Alligator mississippiensis: one gene and its partner. The main gene of each other region encodes a partner of the protein of the gene in region 2 in a complex. Links are inferred from orthologs where the notes say so. Each region holds a gene or a part of one and is shown on either strand. Other genes may lie near its edges.

The links. The genes of interacting proteins can lie anywhere in the genome.
Region 1: the proteins of CINP (region 2) and AIRIM are in contact, whole or in part, in a cryo-EM structure (PDB 8RHN), measured with the Homo sapiens proteins. The link is inferred for Alligator mississippiensis from reciprocal best matches to the Homo sapiens genes CINP and AIRIM. Residues at the interface, in NP_116019.1 of Homo sapiens: Leu161, Leu162, Thr165, Glu169, Asp177, Leu178, Leu180, Ser181, Tyr182, Ser184, Met185, His188, Pro190, Tyr191, Val192, Glu193, Ser194; in NP_001289959.1 of Homo sapiens: Leu107, Gln110, Ala113, Ala114, Asn116, Leu117, Phe119, Val122, Ala124, Leu125, Phe128, Pro129, Asp130, Leu131, Arg134, Leu135, Lys138, Gln139, Ala142.

Annotation. Positions count from the first base shown.
Region 1 is NC_081829.1:1,028,484-1,036,137, forward strand, and holds AIRIM (AFG2-interacting ribosome maturation factor), read right to left. Parts: upstream 2,484-7,654; coding exon 2,224-2,483; coding exon of another isoform or gene 2,119-2,223; coding exon 1,718-2,118; intron 1,666-1,717; coding exon of another isoform or gene 1,496-1,665; intron 1,416-1,495; coding exon 1,375-1,415; 3' UTR 1,039-1,374; downstream 1-1,038. Other genes in the region: CDCA8 (borealin), read left to right, coding at 1,496-1,665, 1,965-2,746, 2,947-3,075, 3,833-3,873, 4,716-4,791, 5,210-5,346, 6,582-6,658, 6,964-7,062. UniProt on the Homo sapiens protein: Part of the 55LCC heterohexameric ATPase complex which is chromatin-associated and promotes replisome proteostasis to maintain replication fork progression and genome stability.
Region 2 is NC_081825.1:285,087,173-285,095,142, reverse strand, and holds the start of CINP (cyclin-dependent kinase 2-interacting protein), read left to right. Parts: upstream 1-4,428; 5' UTR 4,429-4,490; coding exon 4,491-4,497; intron 4,498-6,494; coding exon 6,495-6,663; intron 6,664-7,696; coding exon 7,697-7,823; intron 7,824-7,970. UniProt on the Homo sapiens protein: Component of the DNA replication complex, which interacts with two kinases, CDK2 and CDC7, thereby providing a functional and physical link between CDK2 and CDC7 during firing of the origins of replication.

The DNA.
Region 1 (7,654 bases), on a different chromosome or scaffold from region 2:
ACAGTGCTCTGCTGTCTCAGCCCCAGGGGCAGCAGATGCCCACACTGGAGCATTTACAGGACATTTGTCATCCTCCCCTAAGAATCCCATACGTCAGTCTCAGAGGAGAGGGGGATCTGCTTCAGCGGGGGCCAGCGTGTCACTACTGCCACCTTGCCAAGGAAGCAGGGCTGCTATGGGCAGTTCTCTCCCGTTTACAGCAAGGCCTTCCCTTTTTCTGGCAGCAACTTACTCCTTGTACATGGAAACAGGTGGAAGGGATGAATCTTAGCAGAGGAAAGGCCGATGCTACCCCCTGGTGGACACCCATCTTCCAAACCCAAGGGACATCACCTTGCTCTAGAGAATATATGGCAAAACCATCTCTCAGCCTCAGCACCCGGCAGGGCCACGCTGCCCCTAATCACGGTAAGAAACGCCAATCCCCCTAGAAGGGGCAGCTCAACACAACGGATTCTCTCTGCTCTGGGAAAGCCCCGGGTTCAACCCGTAAAGAGACTGTGCCAAAGGGAAAGCGACTGGCACCGGGCAGGGCGAGCTCCTCGAGATGCTGCCTCACTGTGGTTGGAGCAGCTTATCCCCATCGGCAGAGGTAGCTTATTTTAACATACCGGTCAGTTTATCTTGTAGCGCAGGGAGCTTCAGGAAAGTGGGAACCCCCGCTGGGGAAAGGCGCTTAGCACCGTGTGACCGAGAGCACGCACGTGCTGCACGCACCGCGACGCAGTTTAGAAAATGAGTCGCTTAAGTGTTAGATGTGATTTCCGGAGCTGCGTTTCTGGGGCTTCGCAAGCACATCCTCAACGTGCCCCTTTCTTCCTCGGTGCTGCTGTAAGGCCCCACAAACAGAAAAGGAAACCGAGGGCCTGTCTGGAAGGGTGGGATACCGGGGAATACACACCAACCTCCCACTGCCAACTCCCTGGTTCAGCAAGCTGCGGTTGGCCCACAAAGGCAGGAGCTGAAGCGTGTGCGCGATGGCTCTAGCATGTATTAACACCTGAAACCCCCTTTAATCACCAGACAAGCACTCCTGGATTTTTTTCCATGCGCACTGTTTTGCCTTTAATATCCAAGACACCTGTGAGAGCAGGTATTACTGGGTCTCCCGGGACCAAAGATAACCTTCCTCCCATGTCCTCCAAGAACAAGACCGCTGATGCAACAGGGCCTGCTCGCCCCTCAGCCGTCAGACAGGCTCATCCCACTCGGCAAGAGCCTCCTAAAACAGCTCAGAGCAGGGTGCGCCCGGCCCTCCACCCACCGACCGACCGCGGCCAGGCTCCCCCTGCTCGCCGCAAAGCCTGGGCCTGGGCGCTGCTCCGAGGTCCCTGCCGTCCTCTCTGCCGGCTGGGCAGCGCGAGGACGCAGCTCTCACCCGGTCTCCAGGAAGAGCGAGGCCTTCAGCAGAGCGTCTGAGTTGGGAAGGAAGGAAAGGAAAGAGCCGTTAGTGCCGGGCCGCGCCGTGCCGCGGCGTTTGGGGTCACAGACGCAGATGGAGACGGAGACGCACCCCATCTCAATTCGCTCCCAGCAGCGAGAGCGGGCCTTTGGGCAACTCATGCAACAGGAGACGCGGCCTTTCCCTTGTCGGAGGCCGCGCTCCGAGTCCGGCAGTCCCCGTAAAACGACCGCGTGGCCGGTTCGGTCCCGGTCCGAGCAGAGGTGCGCGCGCACGGCCAGCGGTAACGGCCCCCGCGCGGCAGCTTCCCGTTACCTTCCACGACGTCCGGGTTGTGGCGCTCCAACAGCCTCCCCCAGGCCCGCGGCAGCGCCTCCATTTCCGACAAGTCCTCGCGGTGCGCGCGGAGCAGGAGCAGCTCGCACTCCAGGTACCTTGCCGGAGCTAAGGTCCCACGTGGGGAGCACGACGGACAACACCGCAGGCAGCGCCTGCTCCCACGGCCCGACCCCCGCCGCCGGGAAGGATACGCCTGCCGGTAGCAGCGCTCCGCGTCCCGCAGCCAGGCCAGCGCGTCCGCCAAGGAGGGGCTCAGCGCCGAGCGCCGCACGGCCGCCGCCAGCCCCAGCTCCCCCGCCGCCGCCGCCGCCTCGTACAGCTGGAAGACGGCGCCCACGCGCCCGCTCGCCGCGTCCCGCACCTGCTGCAGCGCCGCCCTGCGGCGACGGGCCGCGGTGAGGGCGAGGGGGAGGAGCCCACCGCCAAGCCCCTCCCACAGCCCGGCCCCGCCCCGCCCCGCCCCGCCCCCCCACAGAGCTCACAGGTTGCGGGCGAGGCGGTGGCGCAGGGCCGTGGCGGCGCCGCGCTGCTTGTGGCGGAGGCGCGGGCCGAGCGCGGGGAAGGCGCGCAGGGGGGTGCGGGGCAGGGCCACGCGCCGCGCCGCCCGCATCTGCGCCGCCAGGTTGGCCAGCGCGTCCAGCAGCGGCGCCACCGCCGCCAGCGCCGCCCGCCAGCCCGCCGCCCCCGCCCGCAGCGCCGCCGCCTCCGCCTGCAACGCGCCCCGCACCCGCGCCTCCGCCATCACAGCCGCGCCGGAAGTGACCCCGCGCGCCGCCGACCGCTTCCGGGGCGCCCGCGGGAGGGGTCGGGACGTGCTGGCGTCACGCGCGGCGCGGGCGCGGATTGGCAGAGCGCGGGGGCGGGGCCGGTTTGAACGCGGCGGCGGCGAAGGCGGCTCTGACTCCCGTCTCGCTCACGGCCCCATGGCGCCCTCCCGCTCCCGCAACAATGGCGGTGCCCGCAAGAGGAAGCTCGCCGCCTTCCTCAAGGACTTCGACCGCGAGGGTGCGGGGCCTGTATGGGGGGTGGGGCTGCAAGGGTGGGGGAAGGGAAGGGAGTCTGTTGGGGGAGGGGAGGGGGTGCAAAGGGGGGGGCGCAGGCTGCAGCCCCCCTCCCTGGGGGCGCGCGAAGGGGTTTCGGGGGAGGCGGAGGCGCCGGCCCGGCGCGATCCCGCTCACATCACCGCGCCGCGCATCTGTGTCCAGTGCAGAGCCGGCTGTCCCGGGTGCAGGCGGACGGGCAGAGCCTCATCAAGGAGCTGGAGAAGCTTTACGACATCGAGCTGCTCCGGCTTCCCGTCGCGCTGCGAGAGATGAACTGGCTCGGCTACTTCGGTGCGTCGCGTCGCGTCGCGGGGCGGACGCGGTCGGCGGGGTTCACGAGCCGTGCGGGGCGGGCGCGCAGCCCGGGCTCCTGGCGGCGGCGATCTCCCTCCTTAGACCAACACGGGTTTTGCAAAAAAAACCCATCTTTAATGGCAAGTTTCCGGGTTCGGAGGACGTTTGTGCCCGAAAGCTGCAATTAAAGATTTAGTTTTTTTAATCGAGTTGGTCTAACGAGAGGGATCACCTCTACCGTGAGCCCGGATTTCTTTTTTTTCGGGACCAATCCAGCTACAAGCTGGATACCCGAATACTGACGTGTAATGTGGGGCTAGATTAAGGCCCCCCGCGCACGGCGTGGTCTCCTGTGCCGCAGCACGCAGGAGATCTTGCCGTGTCGCACGGGATCATCCGTTTTAATTTTCACCTAAATGCTTATTGTTCAAAAAAGTTCCAAAATGCGTTAGCTTTTGGCTGCCTTAAACGTGCCGGTAGGTGAAGGCTGGCATTGGGGCGAAGCAGTGAAAAGTCACGTTGTCTTCTCGTCCCCAAGTTCTCCAGCCAGGGCATCCTTCCTGAATCGCCTCGGCAGGACACTGCGAGGCTGGGGCGTTGCGGTTTGTGCCGTGGGCTGCTCCAGGCCTGCCGGCCGTCTTCCTTTTCCGCTAGGTGTTGCTTGCTTTTAAAACGTATGCTTTAATATATAACTAGCACATGACGCAAATGTCTCTAGTTCGCCTATTTATGAAGATAAACGTTCTCTTTCTAGCTAAAGGAGGAAGTAAAAAAGCCCTAGAAGAGGCAGCAACGGTAAGCAGGAAACTTGCCTCACTGTTTTCACTCAATGCAAACCCCTCGGAAGATATTTGCTGCATCTGACGTGCTCGGTTATCCTAAGGCGGGGGTGGGCAAAATGCAGCCCGCCAGGACGTGTTATCCAGCCCGCGGGGCCCCTAAAAATGTATCTGGCCCTGGCTGCTTGTCAGGCAGCCCTCGGTGGCTTGCCAGAACGCAGTAAGCATTTTGGCAGGACACCCACCCGTGTCCTAAGGGCGTGGTGCAGGTCGCCTCTTGTCAGCCACCAATCCTTGTTTCCAAAAGTTGGCACCAGCTCAAGTAGAGGTTTTATTAAACGGTGGGTTTAATAAACCATTGACCTTTTCAAAGAGGACCAGGAAAGGCAGTGTTCTGAGATCTCTCCCTTAGCGTCCATATTACATGATGTCTTCATTTCTTTTTCAGTAATCTTGCTTTATGGGAAGCCTTTTTTTCCAAGCCTGTGTATCAGCAGTGCGCCCAGACAGAGGGCCGAGCAGTCTCTGGTCTCTGCCATTGAGCCACCAGAGATCACGTACTTATACAGACCAAAAAACACTCCAGTTTGGGCTTGGGTTGGCATGAGACGGGTGACTGGGAAAGCTGAAATAAAGCTCTGGGACTAGATAGCAGGCAGGTCCTGCCAGCTGCTATCTTTCCTAACGTGCTGTAAAAGCCCCGTACATGAATACAGCCAAGTGCCAAGAAACCCAGATGAACCTTTGTTTTAAAAGCAATTTGGGATTGATGCTGTAGTCTTGTAAACTATTAAAAGTATGAGTGCATTTGGTTTCAGCAATAACATATCTCTGGTTGTGATTTCTTTCTGGTTTTAGGCAGATGTGGAAATATCAGAAATAAACAAAATCACAGCAAAAGTCATCCAGACGCCTTTCAAAACGATCAAGAAAGGTCAGTTGGTTTGTAAGGGTTGTTAGGTAGCCCTGTGTGCGGTCAGATGCACGGGCTGCGTGACTGCGGTTTTGCTTACTGGTCTTATCAGCTGAATTATTTCAGCTCTGATTCACTGCCCAAAGTAGGATGAAAAGACACCATATTTCCAGATGATGTGGTGGTTTTATATCTGGGGAGTCTTTTCTTAGGTTTGCTATATCTTTCAGAAGCATTCTCTGCACTTATCTGAGCCTTCAATACGCCATCTTTCCTTCTGAAATCCCATTTGTCCTTCTACAGTGTTCTCAATAACTGCCCCCCAAAATATCCACAAAGGAACAGCTCGGTGAAGAAGAATCATTAGTCATTTGAATTGCCCTTGATTTACATGCAAGTGCACCTCCGTCTAATATGGACGTTTTTCTTTTCTTTCTAGCTGGAAAATCCAAAAAAGACATTGGAGCTTTTGAAGAAACCGAGTTCTGTTTGCTCCCTGCTTCAAAGAAAAGCAGGCAGGAGAGCCAAGCCCTTGAAGAGCCAAAATCTGAAAATACCCAGCCAAGGACTGAAAAGGTAAGCGGATGATTTTTATTTTGGCAAAAGCCCAGTCAAAAAAGGACTGAATAGTGGTTGGGATAATGCTTGTAGACTTGCCTAGTACTGCTCACAACAGAATACCTCTGTTCTGCTTAAATAACAAACGCCCACTTCCACTTGTGACACTGCACGGAGCTTTTTTTATTTTGCAAAAATATGGAATCGGTAAGCTATACGTCTTTCCAGGATGGGATTTTAAAGCATGTCTGTGAAAATGTTCTCTGTTGTATTAGTAACATTTGAGAGACTCTTTTTTTTCTTTGTGCAACTGACAGTGCTGTCTGCAGTCAGATGTCCTAGTTTGTTTGGGAAAGCAAACACAGAACAAGCCTCAGGGTAACTTGAAATAGGTGATACCTAGGACTCATTAAGTTTTGACAATGCAGGGAAACATTTTGTAGCTGTTTCTTCTCTCGGTTACAATGTTCAGGCTTACGCAGGGTGCAGGCGCCTTTAGCAAGGATCAAAATACAAGCCCTAATGTTGAGATTCTCCACGTCTTAGCTCTAGGCTATGATAAAGCCTCTAAGGGGAAATGTCTCTTTTTACAGTTTCCTTGGCTGGGAAGGGGACAGTAGGCGTCTACACATGCAATTGGGGCCGAGCAATAAACTCCAGCACCGTTTGCACTGGAGCTTATTACTCCCAGGCACCATGTTTGCATGAGCGCCTGGGGCCGCAGCACGTTGAACCAGGGTGGAGCAGCCCCAGCTGGCAGAGAGTCTGGGGGGTCAGCCTGCCAGCCCAGGGCTACTCCACCCCAACTCAACGTGCTGCAGAGGAGCTGGCTGGAGCACAAGGGTGCTCCAGTGGGGCTAGCTGGCAGGCAGCCCCTGCACTGAAACAACCTCATGCCCCAGCCAGCCAGGTCAGCTTCTGCACGCGTGTTGCAGCAGACTGAACTCCACCGTAGGGTAGTACTTGTTTTGGGCAGTACTGTCCTACAGCAGAGTTCGTTTTAATTTACTCCGGCCTAATAGCACCGCATGTGTAGACGCTGACGCTTTACTGCGGGGCTAATTGGTCAGCTCCACAGTAAAGCATCTCGTGTAGACGCACCCCGTGAGGTTTTTTTTTAGCTCTCGTTGTCAAAGTTGGCTTAGTTATGGTGACGCTTGGAAGAGGAGATCCTTCCAGCCCTATTCTTCTATACTTCCATGAATTGTGGCTAGGTCCCAAAATAGTAAATAATTCACTGGCTCATGTTTCAGGCAAAGGCAGCAGCCAAAAGGCCTCCATCTAGGAGCAGAAGGTGTCCTTCAGCGAAAGTAAAAGCTGCTAATAAAAGGTAACAAGGGAGTACCGTTGGTAGGGGGAGGAGAGACCAGAAGGTCCTGTTGCCAGTGCACTGGCAGGTGGGAAGGAGCAGGGGCTGATGCGGCTGGCACAGATGTGCCATGCTCTGGGAGTAGCAAGCGGAGGCGTTCCTTGGAGCACAGTCTCCTGGGTGGTGAAGTACTTCTCTTTGTATTTGCAAAGCTTTCGTTATCTTCTGGCTTTTTTCCAAAGACCTCCATCATTCATGCCTCTAAAACCTGCAAAACGATCACTCTTCAAAGGAGCATTTCCTTACTAATGTCACCTCTTGCACAGGACAAGCAAAAGTAATTATTCCACTCCAGCTGTTGGCCGAGCATTGGATGCCTGCACGCAGGGCAGTACCTCTGCGGTCCTTTCCAGGTTTGATTCCAGGTGAATGTCCATTTTGTCAGCAGAACTATTTACCTCTCTTTTTTCATGCCTGCTGTGAAAGATTGCCTTGCTATCTGTTCTGCACAGTCCTGTCCCACCTGCTTCCATATGCATCAATTTGTTGCTCTTGGGCAACACTACTCTACAGCAGCGACTTTAGATCTGTTGATATAATAGAGCAATTAGCATACACCAGTATTGCAGTGCTAGGCTCCATGATCTCTCCCCGCTCCCATAAGGGCTCGTACTGCAGTACTGTCTGCACTTTGCAGAATGGGGTGGGATCCTGGAGCCAAAGAAGTGAGCTTATTTGACTAGTGTCAGGGGGGGTCCGTACCCAGGAGTCAGGGGGAGTCCGTACCCAGGGGTAAGAATTAAAAGTGGAGACTTCATAACTCCCACACTCTGCTATGTTCAGGCTTATACTTTACAATGGGCAAGGTGATGACTCCTCTCCCCCTTCAGCACCCTCCCCCCACCCTTTCCTTTCTCCTACTTGTCTGAACTTCTGCTCAACATGTTCAGGCCTTCCCAGACCATTGGCTCAAATGATACCTCCTGCTTCTTTCTGCAGTCCTTGGTATTGATCAGG
Region 2 (7,970 bases):
AACTTACCTCAGTATTTCTCAATTGGGTGATGCTGCCTCCAGTTAGAGCTGTCCCATATACATGCTGCAGAGGCAGACCAGGACTGGCTGTGACATGTGCACATGCTCCTCCTCCATTAGGATTCTCTGATATCCCTAAAGCAGACAGAGCTGGCTTAAGCTGTAGCCCTACCTGGTCCAGACCCTCATCCCTCACTTTTCTCCCAGAAAGAGGTGAGCACGTAAAACTGTCCTCTCTGCCTCTGCTTCCACAGCACCCCCAAGAAGATCTCATGGTACCTCAATCGAGAACCACTCCTCTAAGTTCTGTAACAAAAAATGCAACTTGCAAACCTTCTTCCACTGAGTTATTTTCCATTTGGGCACTTAGTTTGTTTTAATCTGCAGTTTATATTCCATTAAAATACTTCAGAATGAGACTGTAACATCAAGTGAGTTGCCTATTAACAACAACAACAACAAAAATTTCACCTTCTATTACAAACTCAAGATGATTGCATTTTCCATTATTACCCATGTTTAAATGGACTCCAAGATTGGCCAAAGTTGTTCTTGATATTTTGGATTCATGGCTAGCAAGCTTAAAGATATTGTCTCACAATACAAAATGTTTACTGTGGAGGAATTTTAAGCAGCCGCTTCTGCGTCCAGAGCCAAAGAACATTCCACACCTAAAACAATGTTCTAGAAAACCAAGGCCTAGAAATACCAGTCTGCTACAAAAATTAAACACACACATTTGCAAAACCAATGCCACACACACAAATAACAAACCACAGTGTTGTTCAACATCACAAAAATGTTACCTAGGGGTGGATCCAGGAATGCACTGGTGCACTTGCACCTCCATTTGATTCCTGCTCTATGCAAAGTTTAAAACCAACTGCCTGATAATGACAGCAGCATTACTAGTCAGGCAGCACTGAGGGAGTCGCTTGACTTCATGGCTTCTTGTCATTTACCTGCTCCCCTCTAAAATTTTCATTCCACAGGTGTTAATGACCTTCTCCTTTTTAATGGTCTTGATCAGCATTTCTCAACCGGTGGATCGCGCCCCAAAAGTGGGTTGCAAGAATATTTGAAAGGGTTGCAAGGAAGTCCCAGAAAAACCCACGAAAGTGCAGGTTTCCCCTTGCAGGCTGGCAGTGTTCCAGCCTGCTAGAGCTGCTTAGGATGTATGGAAACAGCAGGCGCACATGCACCTGCACGCACAGACGCACATGGCCAGCATGCCACAAGGCTAGGTCGTGGGAGCAGCCCCAGCAGCTGGACACAGGTAAGTGTATGAGAAGCGGGAGATGGAAGTCCAGGGGACTGTCCAGAGGGCTGGGGTGTGTGTGTGCACATGTGCATGCGTGTCACACAGGTACTGAGGACAGTGGCCAGAGGCAGGACTGTGGCAGGGCAGGGGGAGCGGCAAGGAAAGGGTGCCTGGCCCTTTAGCAGGAAAAGAAGGCAGGGGTGGTTCTTCACAGAGGGGAGCTGCATGCCTGGGTGGGCAGCACAGGGCCACTGCCTATACACATACTCACTGCTCATGCTCTGGCCCAAACAGGATGGGGGCAGCTGGGAGCCCCAGCAGCAGGGCTGGGAGGTAAAGGACTATGGATTGGGAGTGAAGGACACCAGCATGGCCCGGGGGGGAGGGCGGGGGGGGAGAAGGGTTTGTGGCTTGGGGGTGAGGGGAGCTGGCAGGGAACTTTGGGTCAGGCATCAGCAGGGCCTGGGGGTTGTGGGCGGCTTGGGATAAGACATCGATCTTGGCAAACGGGTCCCAGAACGAATAAGGTTGAGAAGGTTGGTCTTGATCTTACACCAATCAAGCTATCCTTTGTTCTGCTATATGTTCGCTGCTCCTGGTACTGAAATGCCTATTTCACAGCCCTGCAGATGCTTTCTAACTCATTCCAATTAAGTTTGATTTGTTTTTGCTTCCATTTTAAACTGAATAACACAGCCCTAGTCCCCTAGCATATTAGTAACACTTCTAGTTTATTTTTAACTGGAAAAAAACAGATGTTGTTTTATATGTGATGACGCACCTGCCCCTCTGCACCCCGCTTTTCAAAATTTTAGATCTGCCTACAACCATACCCATCTCAGCACACCTTCCCAGCATGTCTAGACCCAGCTCACAGATATAAAAGGCCAGTCTGTGTACCTGTCCTTCCGTCCAACCTTCTTTCATTTGCAGGCCCCAAAAAATGTTGAATGGAGGTAGGGAGTGGGACCCCTTTGAATTATAAGTGTGGGTATTCACACACTTTTAATTGATCACAGTCATCTTTTATGGGCCCCTTAGACATAGTCTGTGGACCCCCAGGAATCCGCAGACTACAGGCTGAAAACCACCAGTCTATAGTGTTGTCATCTACAACAATTTTACATTCATCCTTGAACCAAGAAACCAGGCACTTTAACAGTATGTGTTTCCAGGCCATTTCCTTACTAGCATGCAAGAAAATTGCTGTGCAAGACTTCAACTTAAAGGCCCCTGCTACATGTTATGCAATTAACTGGTTAATTGCACAATAAGTTTAGACCGGCCACACATGCAAAGTGAGACTGGCCACAAGTGCAAAGTAACTGTCACATGATAAAAATGACTATAAAAATGCCAACATAAAGGTAGTGCTTGAGGCCCCTGCTACAGGGTACATATTACGCAATTAACTGGCTAATCTCACAATAGATTTAGCCTGGCCACAAAAGCGAAGCAACTGTCACACGATAAAAATTACTAGCCAGCTCTAAAAAGAGCCAACCTGATATAAAATCTGTACTTGAAAATGCATGACAGCTGGGTTCTATCCAGCTTTCATATGAACATGTAGCAGGGCCTATACTAGCACACAAGGTAGCTGTCGTACAAGACTGACTTATAGGCCCCTGCTATATTACATATATTATGCAATTCATTGGTGAACTATGCAATAAATTTAGACTGGCCACACCTGCAATGTAATTATCACGTGATAAAATGACTAGCCAGCTCTAAAAATCACCAAACAGCTATAAAGTTAGTGCTTGAGGCACCTACTACATGCTGTATGTACTATGCAACTGAGTGGCAAATTGCGCAATAAATGTAGACCGGCCACATGTACAAAGTAACAATCACATGAGAAAAAGGAGGCACCAGCTCTAAAAAGAGCCAACCCCCTCCAAAGTTAGCGCTTAAAAATGTGTGATAACTCTTAGAGCATCTTTACACATGCTCTGGGGCTGGGGGCACTCTAATTAAAGCACCTGCAGCAGCTCATGTATTCAGTATCCTGCACTTCAAAACAGCAGTGGAGGCACTTTAAGTAAAGCTCGTTCAGTGAGCTTTAGTTGAAGTGCCCCCACCTCCATTTTGAAGTATGGGGATGCTGAATTCATGAGACACAAAGGCAGCTGGCGTGCGTTAATTCATACAACTTGAACCAAGTCTGCTCTGACGTGCTGTAACTACAGTGAGTCAGAGCCGTGTCCCCGCACCCCTACAGCCACCCCTGGAGCTGGCTTCTGCCCAGCCCCCATCGCAAGGTGTGGCAGGGCCGAGGACCCCGGCACACACGCAGCCACACCCCTGAGGTGGCCTGACAAAAACAGCGGTGGCCTTAGGGCTGCTGGGGCTCTGGTCAAGTGAGGCATTTGGGGCCCCTTGAAGGCTTAATTTTGTTGACCTATAAGCAAGTCAGACATTTTTTATTTCAATTTCACATAGCCCTATCCACGAAACTGCAATGCAAGTATCTTAATACCTTATTGAGGATACAAATATTCAGTATCGTTCATTTTTATTTTTATAAAGCGTGGGGGCCCTGCGCAGCTGCCCGGTTTGCCCTCCCCTCAGGCCACCACTGATGAAGACCGTCCTGCATTCGAAGGCTCATCAAACTTGATGCCAGCTCCACAGCGGGTCTGCTCAAAGCGATCGCCCTATGAAGCCCTTCCTTCCATTTCGCATCGTTTCTGGACTCTCACGGTCACTGCGCTGCCTGGACGCTGCGTGGCTCTGCACGGCTCTCGCACGACAACAGCGCCCTGGGCGTGCGCAGCCCACCCTCACCTTCCCCCCCTCAAGCGGCTCAACCCCCGCAGGGGCCGGCCCGGCCCGGCACAGCCTGGACCGCTCCTTCCCCCTGCCTCGGCCAGGCGGGTACTGAGCACCCCGGGAGCGGCCCGGGCCGGACGCTGGCAGGGCCCCGCAGCCCCGGCCCCTCGAGAATCCCCACCTCGGCTCCGCCGCGGGGCCGGGGCAACAGACGCGGAGCGACGCCCGAGGCCCTCCCGCCCCGCGAGACAGCGCCCAGCGGAGGCGCCGCCGCCGCACTCACCTCAGCGCGGGGCCCGGCGGGGCGGGGGCGGGGGCGGGGCCGGGCGGGGGCGACGGAGAACAGCAGCCGCCGCTGCGCCGCTCCGAGCCGCGGCCGCCGGGGGGCGGGGCGGGGGCGGACGTGAGCTCACTTCCGGGGCGGGACCAGGCCGGGTCATGGCGGGCGGCGATGGCAGGTGAGAGCTGAGCCGGGCCGGGCGGGGGGTTTGCGCGGGCCTGGAGGAGCCGCTGCCGGGCGGCCCGGGGCTTGTCTGGGGCGGGGGGAGGCCCCTGCTACACGTTACATGTAGTGCGCGGTACAGCCACACGCTGCGTATTGCAGGTTGCGCCATGAACCCTGCACTGCATGTGGACTGGGCACACGTTACATGTGTAGTGCAGTGGACTGGGCACACGTTACATGTTCATGGTGTAATACTGTGTGCTGCACGTAGACCGGTCACACGTTACATGTGTAGTGCAGTGGACTGGTCACACATTACACGTTCATGGTGTAATACTGTGCACTGCACGTAGACCGGTCACATGTTACATGCATCGTGCAATGAACCATGCAGCACACATGGACTGGTCACATGTTACATGTTGCACAATGGCCCATACACTAAATATAGACCGGTCACCCATTACATGTATTGCACAATGAACTGTGCATGACACGTAGACTTGTCATGCGTGATGTGTTGTGCAGTGATCCATGTGCTACATGTAGACCAGCCACACATTACATATATTGTGCAGTACACACAGACTGGCGAAACACTATGTAGTACATGTATTGCACCATGAATCATACGTTACATGAGTAGACCACCCACATTACATGTATGGCACAATGAACTGCACAGTAAATGTCGACTGGCCACATGCTACATGTACCGCAGTTTGCCGTGTGTTACATGTAGACCAGTCACACATTACATGTACCGTGCAAGTATGGGCGACAGGTGTCTCCCAAGTCTGGGGAGGCACCAGATTGCCAATGGCGGGGGAGAGGGGCATTTCTGGTTTCGCAGCTGGCACTTCCAGGGGGTGCACCCCCTACGCGTTGCCAGTGGTGTAATGAATCACGTACTGCACACAGACCAGCCACATGCTATTATTTGTATGCATTGCTCAGTGAACTGCATAATACTCATAGACCGTCTACATGTGAAGTAATTGTCACAGGAGAAAAAAGGGGACTAGCTGGCTCTAAAAAAGTACTAAGTTGCAATAGAGTTACTGCTTGAACATGTGTGTCAGCTCTACAGCTGGTTGCTGCCCAGCTTTTGTGGGAATGTGCGGCAGGACCCCATGTTGGTAGCAAGGGTATGTGCCCACAATTGTTGCTGTTCCTGTAGCAACTACCAATTCCTGCCCCTCGATTTATGGCAGATCTGTGATGGTGAAAAGGGGGGTGAAGAGGGAGAGGTGCATCATTGCATAAAAAACATCACACATTTTTCTCCAGTTAAAAATAAACCAGAAGCTTTATTCATCCACTAGGGGCCTAGGGCTGCATTATTCACTTTAAAATTGAAGCAGAAACAAGTAAACAAGTCAAACTTCATTGGAATGAGTCTACACTAGTGGACCATGAAGACTATTAAAAAGAAGAGAGGGTCATTAACACCTGTGGAATGAAGAGTTTAGAAAGGATCAGGTAGATTATAATGAGTCATGAAGTCAAGTGACTCTCTCAGCTGCCTAACTAAAAATGCTGCTGGCATGGCCAGGAAGTTGGTTTTAAATTTTTGGTAGATCAGGAATCAAAAGGGGCACAAATGCACCAGTGCACATCCCCGTGGATCCGCCCCTGCCCTCTCTGCTATGATTTTCTATATAAAAGAGGGAAACCCCCCTGGTTCTTGTGGCAGTTTCTGGGATTGTGGGGCTTATCTAAGAAATTGAGCATCAGCCCACAAAGCATGTGCTCTCTCTTTATATCTTATCTTGTTTATAGGGTGTATCTCTACCTTGCCTTCTGACTGACTTCAGACCAACACAGCTGACTACCTCTCTCTTAAGTTACTGCCATTCTGCTAAATTCTGTTTCATTTTCTCAGCTGTCACCAAGGGAGAAGCAAAGAAAACATCACATGGACACGTGCAACTATGATCACCAGGTGGAGCAGCACTTCAGTTCCTTGTCACAAGTTTTAAAGCTGCTTTTTCTGTCCTTTTTACATAGCAAAGAGCCCTGCAGTTGTGACTCCCAAAAGACCTGTTTTATCTGTTAGCGCAAGGAAAATTAAGGATAATGCAGCAGATTGGCATAATTTAATGATGAAATGGGAGAGCTTGAATGATAAGGGTTTCACGGCCGCCAACAAAATTGTGAACCTGAAAATTAGCGCACAGTGAGTATGGCACGCAGTGAGTATGGCAAAATATGACCTATGGGCCAGATCTGGCTTGCCAAGGAATTTTATCTGGCCTGCAGTAGGTCACTTGGCCCTGCCTAGCCCAGGAACGGAGGACAGCCCAGCCATGGCACACGCAGCCAGTCCCACTGCTCCCAGGCACAGGGCAGGGGCAGCATGGCAGTCAAACTCTGCTTCTCAGGAGCAGCCCCTTTTGACTGCTGCCACTAGCATCTCCACTGCTGCCAGAGCCAACCCCGCTGCCCAGGCAACTCTGGCCTACCCGCCTTGCAGCCACCACCAGGGGCACGAGGGAGCAGGAGGGCACAGCGTCCATTAAGACTGGCTGGGAGCCCTGTGGGCAAGGTATGCCCCACAAGGAGGGTAGGATGGGACTGCAGGGAGCAGATCATGGCTCTGCCCTAGACCCTGCACTGTCACTGCCTTGGGATCTTGGCCCCTCAACCTGTCCCACTCCTGGACACTGCTCCCTGCCTGTCCAAGTGTGCCCTGCCTACAGGGGTCCTGGCTGATCTTCATGGAGATCCCACCTGCCTGCTCTGTCCAGCACCCACAGTGGTAGGTGCAAGGTGGATATACCCTGGCCAGATAATATCAATTGATGCCGTGTGCCAAGCTAGGCCAGCACTTCCCACCCCCAATCTCCCTCCCCAGCCCAAAATAGTTTATCCAAGTTCCTAAAGTGACCCTCCAGCCAAAATAATTGCCCATCCCTGTTTTAGGGCATAAGGTAACCTATTACTAGTGGGGTTTAGAAAGAAACTTTCACCGTAAACAGATTATTTCATTACTGCCTAATGTAGGCTTCTCACCTCTTCCCGAGTCATCTGGTGCTAATCTGTGTTGGATGGTAGCCTGAAGAAATCACTCATTGGTTCTCTTATTGGTCACAAAAGAGGCTTGTAGGATGCAGGCCTTAGAATTGTGGAGAACAGCATGGATTTTAAATTCTTAGCATTCTGAGTAAAGGTGTACAGAGGCACTCACGCTGATATATGCTTTTGTATAGATTTAAAGATAACAGGCTGGAGATTGAATGTGAGAACCCTACTCAAGACTCTGGAAAGCTGTCTCCTCACTATAATGAAGAACTGGAGATGTATTGTACAGAATTACTTGAGATACTGGAAAACATGGTAATGTTTATTTGTTATTCTTCCATACTGTGTATTCCCCATTCTTATTTATTTATTCAATTTATATGCTGCCCTTCCCAACAACGGCTCAGGGCAGCTTAGAGCAGGAGAACAGAACAATTTATAAAACAGGCAAGTGACAAGAGA